2 linked regions of the Caenorhabditis elegans genome follow. The protein of the gene in region 1 interacts with the protein of each later gene in a pairwise test. Each region holds a gene or a part of one and is shown in the gene's direction. Other genes may lie near its edges.

What was found.
Region 2: the proteins of tsp-12 (region 1) and sma-6 interact in a two-hybrid assay, tested with the Caenorhabditis elegans proteins (one study listed by BioGRID).

The regions. Positions count from the first base shown.
Region 1 is NC_003282.8:10,148,506-10,152,485, reverse strand, and holds tsp-12 (Tetraspanin-12), read left to right. Parts: upstream 1-1,883; 5' UTR 1,884-1,932; coding exon 1,933-1,992; intron 1,993-2,045; coding exon 2,046-2,142; intron 2,143-2,238; coding exon 2,239-2,930; intron 2,931-2,975; coding exon 2,976-3,053; 3' UTR 3,054-3,320; downstream 3,321-3,980. Other genes in the region: copg-1 (Coatomer subunit gamma), read right to left, coding at 1-148, 428-452; pigs-1 (GPI transamidase component PIG-S), read left to right, coding at 3,449-3,961. UniProt on the Caenorhabditis elegans protein: Functions redundantly with tsp-14 isoform a to regulate body size, embryonic and vulva development. Functions redundantly with tsp-14 (isoforms a and b) to regulate cell fate specification in the postembryonic mesodermal M lineage and male development.
Region 2 is NC_003280.10:6,322,618-6,328,021, forward strand, and holds sma-6 (Serine/threonine-protein kinase receptor sma-6), read left to right. Parts: upstream 1-1,866; 5' UTR 1,867-1,871; coding exon 1,872-2,011; intron 2,012-2,058; coding exon 2,059-2,209; intron 2,210-2,427; coding exon 2,428-2,517; intron 2,518-2,562; coding exon 2,563-2,674; intron 2,675-2,718; coding exon 2,719-2,874; intron 2,875-2,916; coding exon 2,917-3,010; intron 3,011-3,099; coding exon 3,100-3,180; intron 3,181-3,225; coding exon 3,226-3,362; intron 3,363-3,409; coding exon 3,410-3,713; intron 3,714-3,789; coding exon 3,790-3,961; intron 3,962-4,004; coding exon 4,005-4,403; intron 4,404-4,448; coding exon 4,449-4,523; 3' UTR 4,524-4,738; downstream 4,739-5,404. Other genes in the region: C32D5.4 (uncharacterized protein), read right to left, coding at 1-462.

The DNA.
Region 1 (3,980 bases):
GACAAGATGAAACAACATTTCCTCGCGTTGATCGGTGTCTCGTTGAAGGCGCGAGCTTCCTGAAGAACGGAGGTCTTATCGAGGTGAGCATAGACGTTTCCCCCGGTTTCCTCATCCTTCTTGTTGGTCTTCATTCTTGAAGATTGACCTGGAAAATAAAACCATTACATTTTTTGTGGCGCGAAGAATGTATAACGGAGTAACTCAAAATCATTCGGCCGACTTCGAATTCTGATGGCAAAAATTAGGAACCCAACATTTATGATTTTTCGAGGATACACTGTTTTGCTACTGATTAATCGAATAATGAGAAAAACCAACGTGTTCTATTGAGAAGCGAGAGAAAAGTCATGCACAATCAAGGAGCGACTACAAGCACAAAGAAATTACAAAATAATAAATCACAATCACGACGTCTCAAAATTACCTCCTTTAGTTTTTGGGGCACTCATTTTTACGTGTTATTTTTCAAACTTTCAGCTTCTGAAAATTTTCAACTGTGCATAAATGATGGAGATTAGTTCAAAGTGAGTCAATCTGAATCGAATAACTGTTATTTGGAAGATTTAAAGTGATATTATATTGACGGACGAACAGTTGCGAAGTTATTTGGAAAGTCATACATACACAGTTGGTCGCGAGGTTTACAATGTAAATTTAACATTTGAAACATTTACTGCGTGATTAATCACCTCAAAAATTTGAACCCTTATTTATAAAACATTTTTCAGCTAATAATATAAATAAAATATTAGGGAAAATACGTAAAATTGAAAACCAGACTTTTCTTCTATCGCTGCAACGTGTCTGTCTGCAACTTGTCGTCAAATGTGTTGTTCAGTCCGTAAACACTCGTTGTCCACCGTATTTCTCATTGAATTTCCCTCCATTTATTAAATGAATGCGGCCACGGCCGGGCATGTGATTTCATAAGTTTAACTGTTTCTTTTGTGTACTTTATATTTATTAAGTATCCCCAAAACTTGGTATTTTCAAAATTATTCACTGCAAAGTGCAAATGTATTTCAAATTCACAGAACTTGTGAATAATTTAGAAGCTTTCTTGCATTCCCAATGACTGGGACCATGTTTCGAGCAGTTTTACGCCACCATTTATCAGAGTAGAATCAGGGCTCCCTGGAGACTTGATGTGAGAACAAAGAAGCTTTTTTATTTTTCTTGAAGTCTGCCCAGTTTTTTTCACAACAATTCAAATTCTGCAATTTGGTTGCATTTGCATGCATGCTTTCTAACAAATAATTGCAAATGCTTCATTTTACATTGTTTTGAATTTTGAAGTATTTCTGAAAAATTAATCCCATTACCGATCCGTTTCTCGCCAGTTCTCCAACTCAAGGACATATTTTTGCTTCCCTTTATATAATTACACCTTCATGTTACCTCCCGTCGCTTTGTTCAAAAATACCCACTGGTTGGCAAAAATATTTGAATTATTGATCGTTGTAAGATACTAGTCTGATACTTTTCGTTTTTCCGTTCTCTTTTAATATCTCCATCGAATTCAATGAACTAATGGATGAAGGCGGCAATTGAAATCATTCGTTGCAAGCCTGCCAGACCACACAGTGAAAAACGAAGAGAAGGAGGCTAGTAACAAGATAACGTATTACGTTTCCTCCGTCTCTTTGGTTTTCCAATCTTTCTCGTAGTATAGACTATTGAAAAGAAAAAGAGGAAGCTGAAGGGGAACATTTCTTTCCTGGAAAATTTGTTTGCACACTCTTCTTGTCTTTATTGACACTTTATGTGACTCACTGGTCACTTTTTCTCTACCTGTCCGGTTTCCAGAAAGGATTATATTATGTATCTTTTTAAACTCTGACCTCATGTATTTTATTTTAATTAAATTTAAATTTTCCCAGCAAGATTGCTCGTCGGCCAGAACATCATCGGCCACTTCTCACCCATCAGATGGCCAATCGACGACAGCCGGTGCAACACAGAGCACAGCAGAGGGTATATAGACAATCGGTTAGTTGAAAAAATTTAGAATTTTTTTTTCAAAAACAATTATCGAGTTTCAGCAAATTCGTTATGCCCCCGGCGCTGGTGGTGAATCGGAAATCAGTTGTTGTGTTAAATATTCGGTTTTCAGTTTCAATGTAATCTTCTTTTTGCTAGGTTTGTTTTTTCAAATATAATCTTAAAATGCTCAAAAATTTTCGAAACATTTATTTAAAAATTGATCTTCAGAAAAAAAATAATATGAAATTTCAGGATTTGGTCTGCTCTTGTTCGGAGTTTGGGCACAAATTGAGAAGAACACCTTTGTAAATATGCTGAGTAAAGCATCGAAACTGTATCTCGATCCGACGTGGCCACTTCTCATCGTTGGATTTCTCACATTTATCATTGGTTTCAGTGGATGTGTTGGATCACTACGAGAGAATACATCCTTCCTTACATTCTATTCAACACTTCTTGGCCTTTTGCTCATCGCCGAATTCTCAGCAGGAGTATTCGCATATGCTTGCAGAGATCAACTTGATAACTATATTAGAAATCTATTGAACGATGTGGTAGTTGGATATAGAGATGATCCGGATCTTCAGCTATTGATTGATTCTATGCAAGAGACGTGGATGTGTTGTGGAATCAACGGAGCCGACGATTGGGATAGAAACACCTATTTTTCAATAGAAGCCAGAGAAGTGGCCTCTCCAGAAGCTGGCGGAGTTCCATTTTCCTGTTGTATCAACAGTAGTAAACTGGAATTCAAGAACTACTTCTGCGGGCACGGTGTTCGTTTAAAACCAGAAAGCCACATGGCAGCACATCTTGCGGCTCAACGTGTGATGGCCCACACTGCATCGATTTATACGGAAGGATGTCTGCCGAAACTTCAACTTTGGCTTAATAATAACATGCTATTAGTAGCCGTTTCGATGGTTATTATTGCAATAATCCAGGTATTAAATTCGAATGAAAAATTGATTATTAGTATTTAATTTCAGGTTCTCGGTATCTGTTTCGCTCAAAATCTCAAATCGGACATACTCGCTCAACGGGCAAAATGGTATTATACCCATTAATCAATCAAATAATCAATTAATCAACGAAATATTCTCTACCTTCCAATGTATTCACTTCTACGCAGCTTTCTTTCGACTTACCACAGCCTATGCCGGTCACAAAAAATTCATCCACTTTGCAAAATATACGTTCGATTCTCTAAAAGAAACCATTTGGTTTGTCACAACTTCCTCAACTTTTGCCTTCTTTGTTTCTTTTTCCCAAAACCCCATGTTTTTACTGGTATTTTCAAACTTTGTGAGATTCCAATGAAATTTTCATATTTTATCCGTCCGGATCCGTTTCGAAGTTTTAAACATGTTTTCTGTTATTTGCAGTGGCTTTAAAAATATATATATACTCAAAAGTCCAAATGAAATCATAAATTTCAAATCTAAAACTAAAATTTCACAGAATGACGGAAGATGAAGAAATGCCACAGGAAAGTTCGAAGAGTTTCAAGCAAAAAGCTCTAGACTTTTTACTGGGAAGACAAACGGAAACGGAAGAATATGGAGAAATAACACAATCATTTATCAATTATGTACACTCGGAACGCCCGTATAAGTTAGCTGCATCATTATCTTTTGTTATTCTTGTATTTTTCATCGGTATGCCAATGTGGCATTTTACAACTTCAACATATCGTTCAAACTTTCCCACATTTCCATCAAATCAATCAATAACTGTACCAATTCGTGTTATTTTTGTGATAACATCGGAAGATCTGAGAAATGATGTTAAAACTCTAATGAATGAGTTGGAAGTAAATATGACGAAGAAAGAAGTGGTGGCTCCATTGGATTTTACATGGACAACTCAGTTCATCGGATTAAGATCTTTTGAGCACCTCGAGCAGGATCATTCTATTCAAATAGAAGAGAATAAAGAATTCTTCGATGTTTTTGTTGCTCTTGTTCCAGAAAAAGTAAGATTTCCCCTTCTGT
Region 2 (5,404 bases), on another chromosome or scaffold:
GGGCAAAAGGCCAGCAAATGAGAGTCTGAGACCAGTCCGATCGTGCACAACAAATGGTGTATTGGTTGTGGACATGTGCGTCAAGAGACGTTTCATTTCATTCGGATTTTCTCGCATTTCGGCTTCTTCCGGCGGTGTAGTCATCACTTCGAAATCGTCTTCTTTGCATTTTAACATACTGCGTACGATGTTAATTTTTGATGAAAACGAAATAATCAAAAACTGATTTATTTTTTTCCAATCGTCAATATTTTTTCGTTTTGAAGTTCTTAGTTGGAATGTCACGGAATGAAATAGTGTGGCAGTAAAAATAATATTAGTTTCAAAACAATTCCCTTGCGTATTATTTATTGTCAGGAAAAAATATACATCATGAATCTTTTCCCATTCTTGTTGCCTTGGAGATTTCATTATTTTGTCGTCTTTTTTGGACTTCAATTTTATATTCTTGTTCCAGTACATTACATGTTTATATTCATAATGTGAGAACTTTTAAGCTTCATTGTGTTAAGCTGTAGTTTCAGAACTTTTTATACTTTCGCTTTTTGAAGCTTTCGGCAACCTTTGCCGGGACTGAACTTTCCAAAAACTCATAGAATCCTATAAAGTGTTTTTTTATTCTAAAACACTGGCACTGGTAATTAACTTAAGTATTCAAAACATTAGTTTCATTTTTTCTAAAATTTCTAGAAGCCCAGTATTGTGAATAAACTAAAGTGCCCTCAAAACGTATCATACTATTACAAAATTGATATTTCCGATAAGTGCTCAGAACTCTTTAAAAAATAATATTTGTCGAGTCCCCAGTAAACTATTAATATTTTATAAGTTGGGAACAACAAAGAAGGAAATGTAGAATCAGATTTTCATTGTCAAATAAATATCATTTTTGAATGACCAAAACTCAAAGCTTGTTTCAGATTTTTCAATATTTTCAGTTTTGGCAAATTTCCAAATTTTTAAATACTTCGGAATTCTTGCAAATTTTTGAGCTCTTCTTTGATCAAAAGTAGGATTATTGGTCGACTTTCAAAATTATGATAGGCGAAGCAATATTGTAACTTGTTATTTTGTTACTTTCCCTATTATGATTATTTTCCCCTGTGTTTGCCAAATTTTCCAAAAAAGTAAATTTTTAAGAAATTTCAAACGGTAAACCCCTACAACATTTGAATACAAAAAAATAAAACTCGTAGATTTTTTTTTGCCGACTTCTAGTTCTTCACTAATTTGTGACTATACATAAAAAATTTCAGTTTTTTTTGGTGTTACTATGGTATTGGGACATTTTTGCACTATAAGCATGGTTTCATGATATTTTCTTACTGACGATTTTAATTGTAGTACTATAAAAATTTGTCGTGCCCTTCCGAATCTTGTATTCATCCGGTGCCCAAAAATCGCTAAACTTCAAACGATAGAAACAATGAATAGATATTGAAAAAAAGAAACACCTGGTGCAACCCTCTTTTACATAAATCTAATCCATCTATTTTTCTCAGAAAAATGGCGCCACGCCATTTAATGACCCCGTCATTTTATGGGGTGGCGCGACAGAAAGGCGCCGCACTTCTACCTATTCTCCGGTCATACATATATCCATTTTGGCGCAACTTTTCCGTTCAGATCATTAGTATCATTAGGCGGACAAGTTGTCAAAAAGAACATTAAGTGAATGATGAGATAGTTAAGAGAGATAGTGTACTGATAGAAGAGGCCGTAGATTGAAATATTGTACGAAACGGAGAGGAAACTCGGCAAACAGTCTTTTCATCTCTACCTCTGTCTTTACTCGTTCTATTTTCATGTTTTTCGCAACTGACTTCATTAACAATATATTTTAATCAATTTATTTGCAAATTTCAGATTTAATGAACATCACCTTTATATTTATTCTCATTTTCGGATTTTTCAATACTCAAAAATGCTCAAAAGACTATGATCACTTTGACGATGAAGACTTAGCGTTGAGCATTCCAAAAAATGCAATAGGAGTTCCAAAGGAGTTCAGGTACATGAGTTTTTATATTTTATCAAAAATTCAGTTTTTCTTATCAGGCAACAAGTTTTAAAAGAGATGAAGCTTCGGAACAGACCCAATGATATTTTGAAAAATCGATGTTATTGCAATTATGATCAGTCGATATGTGGAAATAATATGACATGTGTGAAACAAGATGGAGCTGCTTGTTATCATGCCGTTGAAGAGGTAAAATTAACTTGTAGCTCTTGAAAGTTTCCGTTTTATTTTTTGGAATATTTTTACACCATGGAGGTTAGCAACATATGATCTAGGCGTTACCAGTTTTTTAATGAATGGATTTTTCTCATTTCTTGAAACTGACAAATTATAATAATTTTTTTTTTTTGAAAAATCGATGTTATTGCAATTATGATTATTTTCAAAATTATAAAAATAAATTTTAGGTTTATAACAAAGCTGAAAAACGAATGGAAACTCTTCATAAATGGGGATGTGCAACACTGGAAAGAGGAAGTGGAGCTTCACATTTGACGGTGTTTCATCGAGTTTTTTGAAATATTTCACCAGGTGTTTTTCAGTGTAATTCTTGGAGAGCAGCTCACCATTCTCCTAAAAGTATTGGTTGTTGCTATGAAGGTAACTATTGCAATAAGAATTTGATTCCGCCGGCATATGTTCATCATCACAAGGGTGAGTTTTTTTTTAATTTAAATTTTTTAACAGGGACTATTCAGAGAAAGCACTTCAAGAGAAAACTGACAATCCAGAAGACTATGATTCTCCACTGGAAAACATGACACGTGGAGGAAAAATGTTCATAATGGTATTTGCAACAGTCATGTCGGTTTTTGCAGTCATTGGATGTATTTATTTATGTATTACAAGAGCAGGTGAGACAGTTTTTAAATTACTAAATTGATATTTTGTTTCAGAAGAAAAATCTAAAGCCAGAGCCAGAGCCAAGACGGTGTCTCTGAAAACAGAATCAACATACATGGAGAGCAAATCAATGCTCGAAGACTCAGGGTTCGTTTTTATTTCCTAGAGTATTTGCGATATAGAGATATCATACCCATTATTTTGAAAGTGATGTTTTTAACAAATACAATTTTCAGAAGTGGTTCTGGGCAGGCTGCGTTGATCCAAAGGACAGTGAGACAAGATTTAACAATTATTAAAACAATTGGACAGGGAAGGTAAAATTAATTCTTATTTTAATCTTTGTTGCCTATATTTTTTAGATATGGAGAAGTTCGCAAAGCTCTGTATCGTGGAAGTTACGTGGCTGTAAAAACATTCTACACAACTGATGAAGATTCATGGAAAAATGAAAGAGATGTATATCAAACTAACATGATCAATCATGAAAATATCCTTCGTAAGCTATTTCAGTAAAATTACTTTGAATTTCAAGAATTGTTTCAGAATTCGTGGCGGCTGATATTTGGAGTGAGGAAGATTCAATGACAAAGATGCTTCTTATCACTGATTATCATGAACTGGGATCTTTATCAGATTATCTTTGCCGTGAAGAAACATTGACAACAGATGAAGCTCTTCGACTTATTCACAGTTGTATATGTGGTATTGAACATCTACATGCAGCTGTACACGGAACTGGAAGCTTTAGAAAACCTGAAATTGCACATCGAGATATTAAATCAAAGAATATTATAGTCAAACGACCAAATGTGTGTTGTATCGCTGATTTGGGTTTGGCACTACGATAGTGAGTTATTTCAAATGATGCATCTGAAAACCAAAGATTTAGTTGTTCTGAAATTTAGAAAGAATAATGTTTTCAGTCAAAACGACAAAATTCTCCCTGAAAAATTCAATGTTCAAGTTGGAACAAAACGATATATGGCTCCAGAACTGATATCAAACAAGTTGAATCCAAAAGATTTTTCTCAGTTCAAGATGGCAGATATCTACTCAATGGCACTTGTTATGTGGGAAGTTGCAATCAGGGTTGAGGTATGATTATTCAATGAGTTTAAAATAAAGGCCATGATTGTAGGTAAACACCTGTGAGGAAGTGTTAACTGTCGATGAGACCTCTCCTGATCACAGTGCATCAAGTGGTATCGGAGAGTCAGTTAGTTCATCTGGTAATATATCGAGAATGCATCTACAAAAAACAAATGTAGAAGGACATTCTACATCTCTGAAAGCAAAACAACATGTCCCACCATTCGATGGAATCGTGCACAATGATCCCAATTTTGACGAGATGAACGATGTAATTTGTGTACGTCGAATACGTCCACCACCGGATCTTGCCTGGAAAAACGTCCCAGCACTTAATGAATTGAGCAAGTTGATGGAAGACAGTTGGCATTCAATTCCACACTTCCGACATTCTGCTCTTAAATTGAAAAAAGAAATGGCTGAGTTGATCAAAAACCCCGACAGACAGGTAATTCAACACGTTAAGGAGCTATATCTAACTCTATGTTTTCAGAATCAATCGCAGCGTAAAGTTGAATTCCAACAGCAAGACAGTGGCCTTGTTGAGTCAGCCACCAATCAATCTTAACCCACTTTCTGATCTTACTTTCGTTGTACCAAAATTTTTGGCTTCTTTAAAATCAATTTTACTTTTTCAGTTTTGTTCATATTTCCACAACGGTCAAAATTTAAAGCGATCTCTCTAATAATTTCCCATCAATTTTTTAATTGTGCAACTCTTATGAACTTGTTCTCATCTCGATTTACTGCAATTTTTGTGAATAAACATTGTTCCAGACCTGTACGTTCGTGTTGTAATTATGCGACATTATTGTCCATCATTGCCTAATATTTCCTTGATAGATTGCCGATAAGACAAATTCTTAACTTGCGCTCCCTGTGGCAGAAGACGGAGCAAACAAAATTATCAGCTCAACCATGTTTAAATGTACGTTTATTATCTCTCTATCTGAATCTATCTGGATTGGTGTGCACTGCATTTGTGAGCAAATATAGGCATACTTGTACGTGGTTTGATAAGATAATACTGCACCGTTAGACAACTCTTTTGGGTGAAACAAAAGGGAGACAACTGCAAGTTGCATCAGTTGGAACAATGAAACATTAATTCGTTAAAACACAAAGCACATCTGATATCATTTTCACAATTTATTTCGTTTATCACATATTTTAGAAGATCATCCTTTTGTAAAGTTAAAAGTGGATTCATGATATTTTAATTTTGACAAATCTCGACTAGAAAATTTTTAAGGATATCAAATATTTCAAGAAATTTCTGCACTGCAAGTTACGGCAAAATGTCCATCTGTCTGGATTTATTTTGTAGGTGAATCACTTGACTGTAGAAATCGAATATGATGCATGCAACTAAGTCTTTATTTCACAAAGCTTTTTAAAGTATTTTTTCAATTGTAAATTTGATAAATTCAATTTTAACTTCGCACACAA